3 linked regions of the Drosophila melanogaster genome follow. The protein of the gene in region 1 purifies or fractionates together with the protein of each later gene. This does not show direct contact. Each region holds a gene or a part of one and is shown in the gene's direction. Other genes may lie near its edges.

Evidence for each region.
Region 2: the proteins of Cyp4ae1 (region 1) and pps purify together in Drosophila melanogaster (affinity purification with mass spectrometry, with the first as the bait; one large-scale study listed by BioGRID). This does not show direct contact.
Region 3: the proteins of Cyp4ae1 (region 1) and CG30344 purify together in Drosophila melanogaster (affinity purification with mass spectrometry, with the first as the bait; one large-scale study listed by BioGRID). This does not show direct contact.

The regions. Positions count from the first base shown.
Region 1 is NC_004354.4:2,177,201-2,181,521, forward strand, and holds Cyp4ae1 (cytochrome P450 4ae1), read left to right. Parts: upstream 1-1,806; 5' UTR 1,807-1,896; coding exon 1,897-2,062; exon of another isoform or gene 2,063-2,116; coding exon 2,117-2,570; intron 2,571-2,608; exon of another isoform or gene 2,609-2,625; coding exon 2,626-3,158; intron 3,159-3,190; exon of another isoform or gene 3,191-3,219; coding exon 3,220-3,557; 3' UTR 3,558-3,798; downstream 3,799-4,321. Other genes in the region: Cyp4d2 (cytochrome P450 4d2), read left to right, coding at 1-337, 394-463, 521-1,080, 1,137-1,468; pn (prune), read left to right, coding at 4,100-4,147, 4,216-4,321. UniProt on the Drosophila melanogaster protein: May be involved in the metabolism of insect hormones and in the breakdown of synthetic insecticides.
Region 2 is NT_033777.3:12,411,866-12,419,874, forward strand, and holds the start of pps (protein partner of snf), read left to right. Parts: upstream 1-1,962; 5' UTR 1,963-2,291; coding exon 2,292-2,421; intron 2,422-2,486; coding exon 2,487-2,891; intron 2,892-3,005; coding exon 3,006-4,723; intron 4,724-4,782; coding exon 4,783-5,264; intron 5,265-5,352; coding exon 5,353-5,527; intron 5,528-5,582; coding exon 5,583-6,110; intron 6,111-6,175; coding exon 6,176-8,009. Other genes in the region: Dip-C (dipeptidase C), read right to left, coding at 43-1,518.
Region 3 is NT_033778.4:9,143,457-9,149,059, forward strand, and holds CG30344 (uncharacterized protein), read left to right. Parts: upstream 1-1,803; 5' UTR 1,804-2,130; coding exon 2,131-2,335; intron 2,336-2,403; coding exon 2,404-2,516; intron 2,517-3,189; coding exon 3,190-3,340; intron 3,341-3,406; coding exon 3,407-3,590; intron 3,591-3,658; coding exon 3,659-3,845; intron 3,846-3,906; coding exon 3,907-4,042; intron 4,043-4,093; coding exon 4,094-4,420; intron 4,421-4,482; coding exon 4,483-4,639; intron 4,640-4,696; coding exon 4,697-4,760; 3' UTR 4,761-5,056; downstream 5,057-5,603. Other genes in the region: shrb (shrub), read right to left, coding at 164-341; Prp38 (pre-mRNA processing factor 38), read left to right, coding at 672-1,664; CG30345 (uncharacterized protein), read left to right, coding at 5,371-5,542.

The DNA.
Region 1 (4,321 bases):
AGGGTGTGGATTCTCCACCAGTTGGCCGTCTTCTCCACGGATCCCCGAGACATTGAGTTCGTCTTGAGCAGCCAGCAGCATATAACCAAGAATAATCTGTACAAGCTACTTAACTGCTGGCTGGGCGATGGATTGCTGATGAGCACGGGCAGGAAGTGGCATGGACGCAGAAAGATCATCACGCCCACCTTCCACTTCAAGATTTTGGAACAGTTCGTCGAGATATTCGACCAACAAAGCGCCGTAATGGTGGAGCAGCTTCAGTCGCGCGCCGACGGCATGACTCCCATTAACATCTTTCCGGTGATTTGTCTCACTGCCCTGGATATAATCGCAGGTGAGTTTGCCATTAGTCTTATAAATATTTATAACAGCTTAATACTCGCCGTTTAGAAACTGCAATGGGCACAAAAATCAATGCCCAAAAAAATCCCAATCTGCCCTATGTCCAGGCTGTCAATGAGTGAGTGTAATGATAGGTCGAATCCCCACAGTTCTGATGAATTCTTCCTTGTGACAGTGTCACCAACATCTTGATTAAACGTTTTATCCACGCTTGGCAGCGGGTGGACTGGATTTTCCGGCTAACGCAGCCAACAGAAGCTAAACGCCAGGACAAAGCTATCAAGGTAATGCACGACTTTACCGAGAACATTATCCGTGAGCGGCGTGAAACGCTGGTTAACAACTCGAAGGAAACAACCCCAGAAGAGGAAGTTAATTTCTTGGGCCAAAAGCGACGGATGGCTCTGCTGGATGTGCTGCTGCAGTCCACAATCGATGGCGCCCCGTTGAGCGATGAGGATATCCGCGAAGAGGTTGACACGTTTATGTTCGAGGGCCATGACACGACTACCTCGGCGATTTCATTCTGTTTATATGAAATCTCAAGGCATCCGGAGGTCCAACAGCGTCTGCAGCAGGAGATCCGCGACGTCCTCGGCGAGGATCGAAAGAGCCCAGTTACCCTTCGTGATCTTGGTGAGCTGAAGTTTATGGAGAACGTAATTAAGGAGTCGCTGCGCCTGCACCCGCCAGTGCCCATGATCGGTCGCTGGTTCGCCGAGGATGTGGAAATACGTAAGAAGTTCCATATGAGATTCTTCAATCTCAGGTAAACATATTGCTCTTGTCAGGTGGCAAGCATATTCCAGCAGGCACCAACTTTACGATGGGCATCTTTGTTCTTCTTCGTGATCCTGAGTACTTCGAGTCTCCCGATGAGTTCCGACCTGAAAGATTCGATGCGGATGTCCCGCAGATTCATCCGTATGCGTACATTCCTTTCTCCGCTGGACCAAGAAACTGTATCGGCCAGAAGTTTGCCATGCTGGAAATGAAGAGCACCGTCAGCAAGCTGCTCCGGCACTTCGAGCTGCTGCCCTTGGGTCCTGAGCCCCGCCACTCGATGAACATCGTCCTGCGGTCGGCCAACGGCGTTCATCTTGGCCTGAAACCGCGCGCCTAAGGAATTCATTCTTGTGGGTCTATCCAGCTCTATTTGCATAGAATAAACGTGTATACAAGTATTTAATTAACTATTTTGTCTGTTGGGTAATTATCTTAATACTCTCAACAATACATACATGTGCATATGAATGACCATAGGTACATATGTTTTGTGTTTTGGTTGATTCCATCAGCTGTTCTTGCTGAAAAACAGCTGGCTAGTTGTTTTCCTCGGATTTTCCGTCCTGCTCACCTTAGTGGTCCCGCACTGTTTCTCTTTCGAAGTGGTGCACTATTCGAAAGGTTTTGCTTATATAAAGTTTAGCTACGAGCAATAAATCCGAAGTGCCTGTATATAGATAGGCGACACATTTGTAGTGCTCCAGATAAGATTGCCAGCTACTCGAGAGCCCAAGTGCTCCTTAAGATACGCAGCAAAGCTTCAACATGTTGGTGGTTTTGTTGGTGGCCCTCCTGGTGACTCGCCTAGTGGCCTCGCTGTTCCGTTTGGCGCTAAAGGAGCTTCGACATCCTTTGCAAGGCGTTGTGCCAAGTGTTTCGAGAGTTCCTCTACTAGGAGCCGCCTGGCAGATGCGGAGTTTTCAGCCAGACAGTAAGTTCCCGTTTGAACTCTTCAATATTTGATATTTACTCTATTAAATTCCAGACTTGCATGATAAGTTCGCCGAGTATGTTAAGCGTTTTGGTCGCAGTTTCATGGGCACTGTCTTAGGCCATGTGGTTATGGTTACAGCGGAGCCCCGACATATCGATGCACTGCTGCAGGGTCAGCATCAGTTGAAGAAGGGCACGATGTACTTTGCCTTACGCGGTTGGCTGGGCGATGGACTGCTGCTGAGTCGTGGAAAGGAGTGGCACACGATGCGCAAAATCATCACGCCCACGTTTCACTTTAGCATCCTGGAGCAGTTTGTCGAGGTCTTCGATAGGCAGAGCAGCATATTAGTGGAGCGTTTGAGAACGCTGTCGTACGGCAACGAGGTCGTGAACATCTATCCCTTGGTGGGCTTGGCTGCCCTAGACATAATCACCGAAACTGCTATGGGCGTGAACGTGGACGCTCAAGGAGCTGACTCTGAGGTGGTGCACGCTGTAAAAGAGTAGGTTGTAATATGTTCTAACTGACATTTTTTCTTACCGTTTATCTTTCTTTAGTCTAACCAACATCTTGGCCACCAGGTTCATGAGGCCGCATCTCCTCTTTCCCCACCTCTTTCGCCTGTGCTGGCCCAGCGGATTCAGAAAGCAACAGGCAGGAGTCATCTGCCTCCATGAGTTTACCAACGGAATTATAGAGCAGCGACGCCGTTTACTGGCCAGGGAGGCTAATCAAGATAAGCCAACAAAGCCCCACGCCCTGCTGGACACGCTCCTGCGGGCAACTGTGGATGGGCAACCATTGACTGACAAGCAAATTCGCGATGAAGTGAACACTTTCATCTTTGAGGGTCACGATACGACGACTTCAGCGGTTTCCTTCTGTTTGTATCTGCTTTCCCGCCATGAGGCAGTGCAACAAAAGCTTTTTGAGGAACTGAGGATGCACTACGGCCAGGATTTATTCAGAGGCGTTATTCTCTCGGATTTCGCGACGTTACCGTATCTAAGCTGCGTGGTCAAAGAGTCCCTGCGTCTTTATCCGCCTATTCCGGCCGTCGCACGCTGCCTGGAAAAGGATTTGGTTATAGGTGAGTGTAAGGTCTGAGAATTTAAGACTCACCTAAGTCAATCTACGTCAATCTACACCAGATGAGGGCTACATCCCTGTGGGAACCAACGTGGTCGTACTTCTCTGGCAGCTCCTCCGGGATGAAGCGATCTTCACCGATCCACTGGTCTTCCAGCCGGAGAGGCATCTAGGAGAAGAGGCACCCAGACTGAGTCCCTACAGCTACATACCTTTCTCCGCTGGGCCGAGGAACTGCATTGGTCAAAAGTTTGCTCTGCTGGAGATGAAAACCATGGTGACCAAAGTGATACGCCACTACCAGCTGCTTCCAATGGGAGCCGATGTGGAGCCATCCATTAAAATAGTGCTGCGCTCCAAGAGCGGGGTAAATGTTGGGCTGCGGCCGCGGTTGTATTGAAAATCTGGGAGTCAAGAATAAAAACAAAGGATTTAGGATCAGCTGGCGCCAGACAGCTTGAATCTGCTTATCGCTATCGATAACAGCAAACTGCAATCAGCTGGCGCAGTGATGGGCAGGTGTAGTTTTTCACCGCCAAAAAGTGATAGAAATTAGTTCAAATTTAAATGTCTAAACTAATACCAGGAATTCAATATAAATACAAGTGCTTATACATCACATATACAGCAGAAGTCAAACCAAAATGGATGCGCTGCCTTATCAGCTAAATGGGATCAGCTGAAAGCACAGAATGTGGAATAAACCCAATTAATGTGATTAAGCTTAGTAAACGAGCGACCACAGATTACATTACTGCGTTACAAACAAATGCATTATATATGTATTTATATACATTAAAGCATTATCTTTGTAATTTATTTATTTCAGTTTCGCGCTGATCAATCGATAAATGTCACATCGAATCGATACGCGCAACTGTTGAAATATATGGAAGCTATCAGCCGTTTGTTTTCCCAGCTTTTCCGAGATTTCCCTAACAAATGTGCTTTCTACGATTTTTGGCCCAGGCCAGGGGCACCTTGGGACGGGTGAGAATTCTGAAAGAGCACCAGAAGTGAGAAGGTCAAGCACTAATAGGGTTTCTCTTCTCGCGCAGCATCTGGCGGAGGCCTCACCAGTTGCCTGGGCTGCTGCTCCCGACGTTTCCGGCCGGAAATTACATCTGGTAATGGGCAACGAATCGTGTGACTTGGACTCCGCCG
Region 2 (8,009 bases), on another chromosome or scaffold:
TTATATTACATATGTTTACGCGTGGAATATAGTTTAAAAGCTCTAAACCGGCGAATCATATTTACAGGTCATGGTTGCCTCGATGTCCTCCACCGTTCGCGGCACAATCGCAAAGTTCTCCACGCCAGTCTTCGTGATGAGCACATCGTCCTCGATGCGCACACCTCCGAAATTCCGGAAGCGATTGAACATCTCTGCGTTAATGAATTTAGCAATGTTCGGATCGGCCAGAGCGCGGTCCATCAGCCAGTTGATGAAGTAGCAGCCGGGTTCGATTGTGACATACATGCCGGCCTTAAGGATGCGGGCAAAGCGCAGCTTGCTCAGCCACGGTTCACTGGGGCGCTTGGGCTCCTTGGGCAGATAGCCGCCCACGTCGTGCACATCCAGACCGATCAAGTGGCCCAGGCCATGTGGCTGGAACACGCCCGAAACACCTGCCTCGAGCATCTCCTCCACATCGCCCTTGAGCATGCCGCCCTCCTTCAGGCGCTGCAGCAACACCCTGCCCGCCAGCTTGTGCATGTCCACCCAGGAGACTCCGTCACGGGCTGACTCTGTGACCGCATTGCGGGCATCCAGCACGGCATTGTAGATGAACTTCTGGTCGTCGGTGAACTTTCCATTGGCCGGGAATGTGCAGGTTATGTCGGCCGCATAGCCACAATAGTTGGCTCCCATATCGAACAGGCAGAGATCACCATCCTGGACGGGCTTGCTGTTGGGTGCGCCCGCGTGTCCATAGTGCAAGATCGACGAGTTCGTTCCGCTGCCGCATATGCAGGTGTAGGAGGCATGCCGGCAGCCGCCCACGGAGTAGGCGTGGTGCAGGAACAGGGATTCGCCCTCAAATTCCATTCTACCGGGACGCATAAACCGCATCACCTTGATGTGCGCGTCCGAGGATACCTTGGCCACGTAGCGCAGCACCTCGATCTCTTCGGGTGACTTGATCACTCGGCACTCAGAGAGAATTGGATACAGCAGATTGCAGTCAGTCACATACTTCTCCTTGCCAGCAAAGTCGGGCGGCTGAAGGGTGAGCCCGCTATCGCTGTTGGTGCCACTCAATGTGAGTATCAGCTTGGGCGACGCCCCCTCCAGATAAACACTCATTTCGTCAACATAAAACACCTCGTCCACCTCGTACATGGCCTTGAACTCCTGCAGCCCAAGCAGTTCGCCCATCCAGGTGCCGTACTCATCGGGAAAGCGAGGAACAAAGAGAACACTTTTCTGTGCACCAGTTTTCACATCAATGGTTAGGATGCCGTAGCAGCCCGGCTCCTTGACACCGAACAAGTACTGGAAATAGGACTCCTGCCGGAAAACGTAGTCCACGTCGGTGTTGTACAGGCTCTGGTCCTTGCCGCCCTCGAGGAGCACCAGCAGGTTGCCGTCGTTGAACTTGAGGCCCGGCAGCAGCTCCTTAAGGATGGCCTTGCCAGCACGATCCCTGTTGTTCCGGAAGAGGGTCATGGGCACTGCGTAACCCGATCCCATCTGAAAGGCGGCCATGGTGTTGCGACGGAGGACAAAGTTTAACTGGCGCTCTGGACAACAATGAGTGCTCGAGCAAGTGAGATTAGCTGATAATAGCCAATAACCGGGCTAACAAAGGCAGTAAATTATGTGGGTTTTATCAGTGTTTTTTGTTTTCTGTTTTCGCAAAAGTATGACCGAGAACTGAACGCGAAAAAAAACAAGCTTAAATTACAATTCATCGATCGGGAATTTTATTTTTTTAAATATATTCTTTAATATTTTTAATTAGCTCAATTCATTTATTTATCATACGGTTTTCCTTTTTGGCAGCCGACCTTGAAAATAAAGGATTTCCCTAAATAAACACAGATTAACATTTTGTTCAAATGAGCTAGCAATTGAAACTAGTTCCGCAGAGCGAGGCACAGAAACTATCGATAACCTACAGCATCGGCATCATTCCCAAGTCTGGTCACACTGGAAGTGGCTTTTTTTGCAAATTTTATTTTCATAATTGAGAAAAATTTGCATTTTAAAGCGAAACAGCAACGGATTAAGCTCTCGAATCTCAACAATATAACAGCCAGCTTGTGGGCGCAGCCAGCAGAGCATCACCAGTATTAAGTATAGGGCGAACGCAGCCCAGTGACCGTTTTCCACCTACTATCCAATTTCAATGTCGGCGTCACAACGCGGCGGATGCAACAACAAATGAGTCGTTGTTCTGTTCCAAGCTAATTAAGTACACGCTGTGTGGGCCGCCGACTCCAATGCGCCGCTAGCGGGGATCACGAGCAGTTGGCGTCATGTCCAGTTCGGTGTTTACGGAGGCGCCCAGCGCCCGGCCGGCGGCAGCCGAAGCCGACTCCAATCTGGTTGTGGTCTACAGCAAGAGCGGAATCTCCTTCGACGAGCGTGCGATTGGGAACATCATGGGTAAGTGGGTCCAATAGGCCTGACACACGCTCATTGCTCCCCACACTGACATGGGCTTGTTGCAGAGGAAAAATCGATTTCCACCATTAGCGTGGTGCGGATTACATCGCCCACGCCGAGCATGGTGGACCAAGAGGAAGACGAACGGCTGGAGGAGCTGGCGAACTTTATGGAAACTGCCACCGACTCGGAGCTGGACAGTGACAATGGCAGCCAAAGTGGTGGCGATAATGCCAGTGAGATGGATGAACACGACGAGGAGAACCATAACACCGGTGACGACAACAATAGCGACTCCACGGAGACGGAAGCCGATGCCCCGCGCACACGCAAGCGAGTTGGCCGAAAGCCCAAGGCCATCAAAAAGCGAAAGCGACGCAAACCCAAGGAGCGTCCACAAATTGTGGGTTTGCGAGTGGAGCAGTTTTATGCGGACAACACGGCTGATATGGTTGTGAAAAATGCACTGAGTAAATAACGTACATCGATGTGGTCCAAATGATAAAGCAAAACAACATCATTATTTCGAGCACAACGAAAGTAAACGAACTTTAGCTTTCAACTAATTTGTATTCTATTTACAGAGCTTGCCGGAGTTTCCGTCTACAAAAGGACTGCGGAGACAGACGCTCTTATGGAAGTTATTCGAAATGACCACAACTACACACCGTTTACCTCGCCAGAGCAGCTGAAGAACCACAAGCGCGATGAGAAGATGGCCATGGAAATGCAGGCCCAAAGCCGCAAAATCATAATGCAGGCACCGGGCAGTGTCAAGCTAATCAATGCCAAAAAACGAGTCCAGGCCATACCCTTAAGCCCGGTGCAGGTCAAGGTCCAGAGACTGCCAGTCAAGCCCCACCAAGTTCAGCAGGCAGCGCAGCTGCAACCGAAAGTGCAGCTGATCCGCAAGCCCATCCATTCGCCACTGCCAAGACAGAAGCCAGAGATTATCGCGAACAATTCGGTCAATGCCAGGCTGAGGCCCACTCGTGCTCCAGTCAAAGTGATTGCTCCGCCTGTGCAGGAATACATCGAAGATGATGATGACGCCCAAAGCTCGGATTCCGCCGAAGAGGAAAATGCCGACAAGGCCTATGATTCGGAGGAAATGAGTGAGGAGAGCGATGAGTTCCAGGAATCGGACAACGACAGGGACAGTGACATGGACTTCGATATGAGGCATAGCAATAGACGTAATCCGAATAAGAGGAAGCGGGTTAGAAAGGTGGTTAGGCAGACTCCCAGCAAACCAATGAAGCCGCTGCCTCCGCCACCCACAACGCCGCAGCACTTCCCCGAGCTGAAGAAACGCAAGGAAGTTTTGGAGCCGAAGGCGCCGCAAATTGGGCAAATAATCCAGATGCCTGCCACAAAATCAGTGCCCGCAGTGTTTGCCCTAGGCAGAGGTCTTCCAAGCACATCGTTTCTCAAAATCCGGCCCACACATCAATCGCTGCCTGTGAAGAGACCTCCACTGCCAACGACACCGGCCAATTCCAATGTTCGTCGTATGCCTGCCGTGCAATTGGGAAGGATCGTAAACTCGCCGCAGGAAGTTAAAGAGATTATTATCAACAAGAATATGGCCAGTCCCAAAGGAGTGTTTACCAATCTCAACACTTTGCTGGGTGAGGACAACAATGCAGCCACAAAATCTTCGCCAGTTCCACTCCGACACCGGGCCGTCATGTCGCCAAGCACGCCGAGATCGAGCTACAATCAGCAGATGTCGCCAATTGTGGTTCCGGTTCCTGCTCAGGCACATACCCCATCCAAGGGCTTCATGCCCATCGGCGTGGACACAGCTCAGTCGCATAAACTGCCCGCCCAAATAGTAATCGAGACGCACCAGAGTTCCTCCGAGCTGGCAGCAGAAAATGACAAGCAGCTCGATCTGATCAACTCGATTGTGCAGGACGAGCTACTTAAGTCCACGCTTGTGGAGCAGCCGGTAGTAAATGCGGACGAGGATATACCGAAACTGGTTAAGATGCTGGAGAGTACAGCGGCGGATCTAGATCCGCCACCAGTGTCCTTGCCTACGAATATTTTTCCAGCTCCCGAGATGCAGGGAGTGGGAAATGCAGCTGCAGCCGATCCGAATAATATAATGGATACGGCGAATGAGGATGAGATTACAGCTGATTTTCTCCAGCACGTGGTCGGTCTCATCGAGGAGGACAAACAGTTTGAGGCCGAGGTGGTTAAGCAAGTATTGGCTAGTACAGAGCCCGGAACCCTGGACGCCATCGTATCTATGCCTACGTCCATTGAGCCCGTAGACGTGCCGCAAGTACAGGCAAGTGTAGAATATCCTGGTTATTGATTTTGCTAGCTAACTGCATTGCTCCTTTACAGGCACACACGAACCTACTGCCGAATGCAAGTCTTACGGAGCCCGCACAATCGATGACCTCATTGCCGATTGCCTGCAGTACACCCTCGAGGAGCGTGGCAGCAAGCACTCCGCCCACCTCCGCGAAGGTTGTGCGCGGCTACGGTCGGGTCATATACCTGCCTCCCATTGAAGCCCCCACCACGCGGGCCAAGCGACGAGCACAGTTTCCTTCAGCTCCGGGCATGGCTGCGACCAGTTCCAGTGATGCAGGCAACCTGTCGTTTGGTGAATCTTCGTTGGATGCGAGCATCAATCAGCCGCTCAATACCAGCAGCCTGAGCAATGACAGCCAGCCGGGAAGTGGGCCGAAACGACCCAATCCTAGAGAGCCATCGATGGCCAGACGTTCAACGGCACCCAGAAGATCAAAGAAGCTTGATGCAAGTCAGAACAATGATCCCGACGCTTCAGAGTCTCAGGAGGATGACGATGACCCCAACAAGTAAGATTATAGTTGGATATTTCATAGATGCAAATCTGTGCGTTTGTTGAAAACCTTTTTTGTTTTTTTTTTTTTTTTTTTGGTTTAGGCTCTGGTGCATTTGTCGTCAGCCACACAACAATCGTTTCATGATCTGCTGCGATTTGTGCGAGGATTGGTTCCACGGCACATGCGTGGGGGTGACCAAGGCGATGGGCACAGATATGGAAAACAAGGGCATCGACTGGAAGTGCCCCAAATGCGTTAAAAGGCAGGAGGAGAGGGTAAAGTCATACAATAGACATAAAGTTACCTTTTATTGATTCGTTATCTTTGTAGAGCCAACCACGAATAACAGACATGTTGGTCACCAGACCAACCACTCAACCTGAGCAGAGGCCGAGTGAAACCAAAGTACTAACTACGACAGCAGAAATTGTTCAGGTCGCGGCTCCTTCGGCTCCCAGAAGAACACTACCGGTGGTCTTAACTGTAGCCAGTTCCCCCATGCGTATTCCAATGGCAAAGCCGGCCAAAAAGTTCCCAACCGGTGCAATCTCTCACCAGCAGCAGCAGCAGCTGAACTTTATCAGACTGGGCCCATCACCTGGCAAACGAATTTCGGAGACGTTATGTGTGGTCTGCAAGCGACCGGCGAGCACCTCTTCCGTCTATTGTGGCGAAGAGTGCATCCGGAAGTATGCCCAAAGTGCAATTCAAGCACATGCTGCTACCAAAGGCCCATTGCCACAGAATGCCGGTGCTCAGTCTTTGCTGAACAACTCCTTCGATGCCAAAAAGAACAAGAAGAAGGACTTGTTTGAGGACGTGCTGAGGCAAGCGGACACTGTGTCAAAAGTGGAACGGGTATGCAATAAAGGTTAATTTAATTAGAACTATACAACAAATAATGTGCACACTTTGCTTTGCAGATTAATGTGTTTGAGCGTAAAAGTGGTCGGGTTATCACCGGGCACATGGCCCCTTCTGCACATCAGTTTCGGAAATGGCTTCAGGAGAATCCCTCCTTCGAGGTGCTGCCCTCAGGAACCGTTCAGTCAGCCGACGCAGAGAAGCGTTTGCTGAAAGGGGCACCGGAAGCCGCCACCTCAACTTCAGAACCCGCCGTGCTAGGAGTTGCAAAAAAGCCACCTGAAGGTCCTGCCAAATTGTCCCATCCCCAAAACACCACAGTTCAGGCAAGCCACCAACTTGGAATCTCTTCCGTGCGTCCTTTGGCCAAAAAGGATAAAGAGAAGACAACACCTACAGTACAGGCGCCAACCCCTAATCGTATCGCAGCGGGCAAACCCGAGCCGGTTCGAATCGGCATCCGGCGATCACTCAGGGAGCAACTACTAGCGCGAATCAAAGAAGCTCAGGCTGCCGAGGAGAACTCTGGCCAGCCAACGACTCAGTGGCCGACCGTACTTGAGGTGGATCAGTTTGTCAAGAACGTGGAGCTGGAAATGTTCAACTCGTTTGGCCGAGACGTGGGAGCCAAGTACAAGGCCAAGTATCGATCGCTTATGTTCAACATAAAGGATCGCAAGAACCGAACGCTTTTCGAAAAGATTTGTGCCAAGCAAGTGGAGCCCAGGCAGTTGGTGCGGATGACGCCGGAACAGCTGGCCAGCCAAGAGTTGGCCAAGTGGCGGGAGGAGGAAAACCGTCACCAGTTGGATATGATCAAGAAATCGGAGCTGGACTTGTTGGCATGTGCCCAAAACTATGTGGTGAAAACACACAAGGGAGAGGAGGTAATCGCCACCAAAGTGGATGTTACGCTGCCCGAAGAGAACGTTAGTGAAGCATCATCTATGGCGGACACAAAACAGACGTCGCTGGTCAGTGAGCCGTCTACCTCCACACTGGAACGTTCCACGTCCAGGGAAAAGGCGGGTTCATCGAAGGAAAAGCGACACAAGAGCCACAAGCATCATCATCGAAAGCGCAGTCGAAGTCGTTCCAATAGTCGGGGTCGAAGCGTCGATAAGCGCCATCGCAGGCAGCACAACGAAGGAGGAGAGCAGCCAGGCAGCGGGGAGCGTGAGCATAGATCGCGTGAGAAACAGAGCCGGGAAAGGGATGAGATCGTTCCATCACCCTTGCCCAAGAAGAGGGACGAAAACGACCAATCGCCGGTACCCAAAAAGACGGCGGAAAAGAAAACCGAGGCGAGTGCTTACAACTTGGTTGATCAAATTCTGGAATCGGAGAAAACAGTCGAGCAGGCGGCGAATCTAGGCAAACCAAAGCCGTCACCCAAGCCACTTCCAACGCTTCCGAGTTCTTTGAAGGCACCTGAGCCAATGGACAACTACTCCCGCTACTTGCACGGCCTGACGACGAGTTCACTGTGGTCCGGTACTCTCAAGATGATCGATTTGGCCGACTTCGAAATCGTCATGTACCCCGTGCAGGGTAACTGCCATCAATTGGGTAACCTGATGCCAAGTCAGATGGACGTAATCGGTCGCATAACCCGCGTTAATGTCTGGGAATATATCAAGAAGCTAAAGAAGAGTCCCACAAAGGAAGTGGTCATTGTGAACATATTCCCCGCCTCGCCCAGCGAAACGTATAAGTTTGATCTCTTCTTCGAATACCTGGACTCGCGTCAGCGTCTGGGCGTCCTGGGCGTGGACTCGGATCAGATACGCGACTTTTACATATTCCCCTTGGGTAGCGGCGATAAGTTGCCACCAGCGCTGCAGACCGCGGAGCCAGTTCCCTTCTACGAAGAAGCGCAAAGACCCAACACGC
Region 3 (5,603 bases), on another chromosome or scaffold:
ACATATTGTTTATTGAGTTTTCTATTTGCTGGCAGTATGGGATACTGATTAACTGGGAGCAGGCCTCGCGGCCGCAACAAAAACAAAGCAATGAGTCATTTCCCCTTGGCCCATTTGAGTGACCAACTAGGAAGCCAAGGACCTCGGCGCACTCCTCTCATACCTCTTTTGTTTTTAGACGCATTCTTGCGGGCTATATTCAGTTCGTCCTCGATCTTGGCCTCCAGGAACTCCTGCTTTTTGATAAGCATGTTCTCCGTCTCGCGCAGCTTCTGTATCGCCTCGCCGGTGGTGGGGGCCACTTCCTTCTTGCCGCCGAACATCTTCCCGAAGAAACTCATCCTGGCTGATCTGTTTTTTCACCCGAATTTAGCGAACAAGTGAGTTTTTTTCTGCTATTGCGTTTCTTGGTTGTCTGGGAGCTGTTGTTCGTATGCGTCACCCGATACCGATTGCCGTCCCCTATCGTTATCGCCTTTGTGTATGCGCTTGGCGGAGTGGCATATTTCTCCCTTACGCAGCTGGCCACTCTGGTTAGCAAACGCCGAAAAATAAATAAATATATTCGGTGCATTTTCACATTTTGCACTGCTGCCAATAGATACCCGAATTTCTGGATTGAAAAGTCCTATTTGAGTTACGATTGACAAGGAACAAGGGTTCAACTGAAAATGGCCAACCGCACGGTGAAGGAGGCCAAAAACGTGCACGGCACCAATCCGCAGTACCTCATCGAGAAGATCATCCGTTCGAGGATATACGACTCTAAGTACTGGAAGGAGCAATGCTTTGCTCTCACTGCGGAGCTTCTGGTGGACAAGGCAATGGAGCTGCGATTCGTCGGAGGCGTCTACGGCGGCAACATCAAGCCCACCCAGTTCCTCTGCCTCACACTCAAGATGCTGCAGATTCAGCCGGAAAAGGACATCGTAGTGGAGTTTATCAAGAACGAGGAGTTCAAGTACGTTCGAGCATTGGGAGCCTTCTATCTACGGCTCACAGGAGCTGCCCTGGACTGCTACAAGTACCTGGAGCCGTTGTACATAGACAATCGAAAGCTGCGCCGCCAGAATCGCGCCGGCCAGTTCGAGATTGTCTACATGGATGAGTACATTGACGAACTGCTGCGCAACGACCGTGTCTGCGACATTATACTGCCCCGCATCCAGAAGCGCTCCATTCTCGAGGAAAACAACGAAATCGAGCCCAAGGTGTCAGTGCTGGATGAGGACTTGGACGACGAACTGCCCAGCGACGAGGAGAAGGCAGACGAGACCAACCGGCCTAAGGAGAATTCGACAGCAGTGAGACGACCACGGAGAGTTCGCTCCAAGTCAAGGTCCCGCAGTCGGGAGCGCGAGCGAAGATCTGGGCAGGGCAACAGCGCCCGTTCCCGGGATTACTACGACGAACTGGAAGACTACGACCGCCAGCGAAATAGGGTGCGCAATCGGGACACCCACAACGAGGACTATGACCGTCGGCAAAACAATGGACGCCACGATCGCGAACGAGAGCGCCAAGATCGCGACAGTATCAGGGAGCGCGAGAGGGACGGCGACAGAGATCGCCGGGATAGGGAACGAGAGCGAGAACGTGACCGTGGCCGTCACGACCAGCGGGAACGGGACTCGCGAGGAGAGCGTGACCGACGACGCTACTAAAATTATAAATAAATTGAATTAATTAACCAGTAAAAAGTGTCAGAAAATTTAAACCACAAACTCTCAATTCGCCGCAAGTTGGCATCCCTAGCACTAAGAATCGAAAATCGAAATCAAAACAATAACACAGAAGAAGAAGAAGTCAATCAGCTGTTGCTGCTTGCATTTAGAAAGTTTCGAATAGAGTAACGTTAACTGCGGGAGAATCCAGCCAGCTGTACTTGTGAAAATAATACACGTACCAGGGATTTAAGCAACAATAAATCCACGTTAATCAGCAGTAAAGCAGCTGAAGCTTTAGTATCTGAAAACTCTCCGTCGCGTTTGGAAGACTTTCAGGGAACTGCGCAGCGTTCTGGTGAATGAATTGTAAATTCCATTATCTCCGGTAGACTGGTGTAAGCCAGACGCATCCACGAGTTCCGTTCTCGATAGCGAGCAAGTAGGAACGGAACGGAACGGCAGTATGCCTCGCTCTGATACGGAGGCTTTGGTGGCCGATGTGGAGACTGGCGAAGATTCGGCACCACGCATACTGGACGCATCATCTGCGGCCAGCAGTGAGCAGGTGGACCCGCCTCCGGTACCGCCGCCTCATGACTACAGCAGCTATCGCTGGTTCATCCTGGAGCCCGCAGTTTTTTTAATCTTCTTCGCCAGAAATTTAATTGGTATAATGGCTATAGGGCAGTAAAACCGATTGGATTGCATCATTGAATTAACTTTGTGTGCGTTTTAGGGGCGGTTTATCAGAACCAAATTCTCTACCAAACCTGCATCACCATCGAGAAATTCAATGCCACGCAATGTGAACCGCTGCTGGGCATTGATCGCGGATCGGACGCGGATAAAGTAAGTATTTAATTTGACCCTTATAGTATACACATCATGTACAATTTGATATCTGTACTTTGTGTAGTTTCTGTTCTCGTTGCCTGGTTTTTATCTCTGTGCAAATTATTTTTGCTGCTTTGCTGGGCGTTTCGTGTTGTGATTTTATGGCGATGAGGAAAATGGCAATTTTAAACAAATTTATCCAGTAACTGTAAACAAAAACTGAAGTTTAAGTTACAAAAACTGCTGAACAATTTTAAAACCACAATTAATGTATCACAATATTAACTTGTTTTACGAGTAATTGCTACTATTATGACCTTTGCTGTATAGAACAATGTATTTCGCATTTGGCTCGCCGATATTCTTCCAAGACGTGACCTACTTAGTATATCTTACTATATCAGCATCCGACGTGACAAAGTAAAATCAAATTAGCAAATCGTCTCAACCTAATGCAAAACTGCCATTGTTTGGAGGCTAGAGATAAGGTAATTAGAACGCCAGTCGAGGCTTATCAACGGCCGGAATAGAAGTAAGCAAAATCCTTTGTTACTGCATTTCGAAGCAGTATCGAAGTATTTACTAGGAAAGCGTTAAAATTATAATTATACGTACGAGATATGGCACATTGACTCATCCACAGTTGTACAGTTGTGCAGTTTACTAAAGTGAACTTCTGTTTTTTCAGGAAGTCGAGGTGATAGTACAGACGTATTCTGCAAATATTATGATGACAACCTCTCTGCTAGAGAGCATTATTCCTGCCTTCGCGAGTCTGTTCCTGGGTCCCTGGTCCGACAAGTTCGGAAGGCGGCCAATCCTGCTGACAACTTTTACGGGTATATAATCATCAGTCAGGACATCTTAATTGCATCTTGTACAAATGACTCTTATTGTATTTAAAGGCTACCTCACTGGCGCACTCATACTGATAGTAATCACTTACATAACGAGGTCCACGAATATAAGTCCATGGTGGTTCCTCCTTTCCTCGGTTCCTTCCGTCGTAAGCGGCGGAACTTGCGCCTTGATTACTGGAATCTATTGCTACATATCCGATGTGGCCAAGGAGCGAAAGAAGGCTCTGAGGTGAGTATGGGTAGTCTTGATTTATTAATCCAAAGAATGCCATTTCATTTTGATATATTATTTGAAAGAATGGTCCTCAATGAAGCCTCCCTCTGTGCTGGCATAATGGTGGGCAATGTGGCCAGCGGTTATATCTATGCTGCCACAAATGCTCTGGTGTTGTTTTCCATTGCTGGTAGCCTGATGATGTTTGCCTTGATGTACGTGCTTCTGTTTGTACCTGAAAGCCTAAATCCAGGTGACATTCACACCGGAGTAAGTAATTTCTATAGCTAAGAAGAAACGAATATCTCAACACTCCTTCCCTCATTTTTAGTCGCGAGTCCGTGAGTTCTTCCGTTTCGATTTGGTCACGGACCTGATTCGCACCTGCTTTAAGAGGCGCCCCAACTTTGATCGCACAATCATCTGGCTTACAATGATTGCCCTTACGATAGCCATTTTCGACATGGGTAACATAATTCAAACTTAAGATTATATGAGTTAATTTATAATGATTTCAGAGGGAGAGAGCACTGTAAATTACATGTTCGTGCAGGATAAATTCAACTGGACCATTAAGGACTTCAGTCTATTCAACGCATCCCGCATCGTGATCCAGATTGTGGGCAGCATCGTTGGCATGTTGGTATTGCGCCGCGTTCTAAAGATGTCTATCGTAACCATGGCAATGCTCTCCCTGGCTTGCTGTGTTCTGGAGAGCACGGTTCGAGCCACAGCAGTCTACTGGCAAGAGCTGTATCTGGGCATGACGCTGGGTATGATGCGTGGCGTCATGGGACCTATGTGCCGCGCGATTCTCTCGCACGTTGCACCCGCGACTGAAGTTGGTACGTACCCAAAGTGTTTAGCCTGCAAATACCATTAACTAAAACCATATGAAATAATTTAGGCAAGATCTTTGCTCTGACCACCTCCATGGAATCGGTTTCGCCACTGGGCGCTGCACCTCTGTACACAACCGTCTACAAGGCAACTTTGGAAAATTATCCCGGAGCTTTCAACTTTATTAGCGCCGCTCTCTACTTTGTGTGTTACATTCTGATAGCGTAAGTCCTACCAAGCACAGTTCAAGTCCAGTTTAAAGCGAATACTTTTCAATACAGCGTGATCTTCGGCATCCAGAAGTCGATGGGTAGTAGCAGTGTCTACCAGGCCATTGGCAGCTAACAAACTCTCCAGAGCACCGATTTAGCTGAATGTATCTCATAAGTTAAATTCCTTCTGCAGGCGCTGCGAAGAGCTCTCGTTTTAAAAGATTAGAAACTATTTGTGTAAATTAATCTAGTGTTTGTACTCCTTGTATATTTTTGCAAGTATTATTATGATTTTGATCAGTGTATATGTATATATATACTATATCTGCTATTTGGACTGTGTTTTGCATGTGCAAGCATTGTAAAGTTAAGAACAAAAGATTTAACTGTTTGCAGTGTGACAATAAAGTGTGAATACATCGAGCATTCAATATCTTTGAGCATAAATCGAATGGGAATTGTGTGTCGCGATGTGAGGTTTCTCGAGAGGGAGCCGCTCGAGCGTTCGTGCGCAGATAGGGCGCAGCAAACGCTTTGGTTTGCTCAAATTGGCAATCGCTTGCTTTGTTTGTTTACGTCGTCTATTTCAGCTGCTCCCTCCAGTTAGTCTATCACTCGAGTTCGGCGCGCACAGATGTTTAACTCAGTTCCCGCTACGATATATTGCTTGGCTGAATGAATCGTTAATTCCTTTGTCTACACGATAATTGCTGCGATCACCGCGACCTTTACTGAACCACAAAATGCCGAGAGATGATGAGGAGCCAATTATTGGCGCTGATGATGAACCGCTGGACATCGAAGTGCGGTCGCCGCCACCCAGCAATAGGACATTCTCTAGCTGGCTAAAACGACCCCGCTCGCTTATTTTAGAGCCCGCCGTGTTTCTGGTTTTCTTTGGCAGATTCCTAACAGGTGTGTACATACATGTATGTGTTTACTGTGTTGTGGGGGCGTTTATAAATCAGATTGTTTA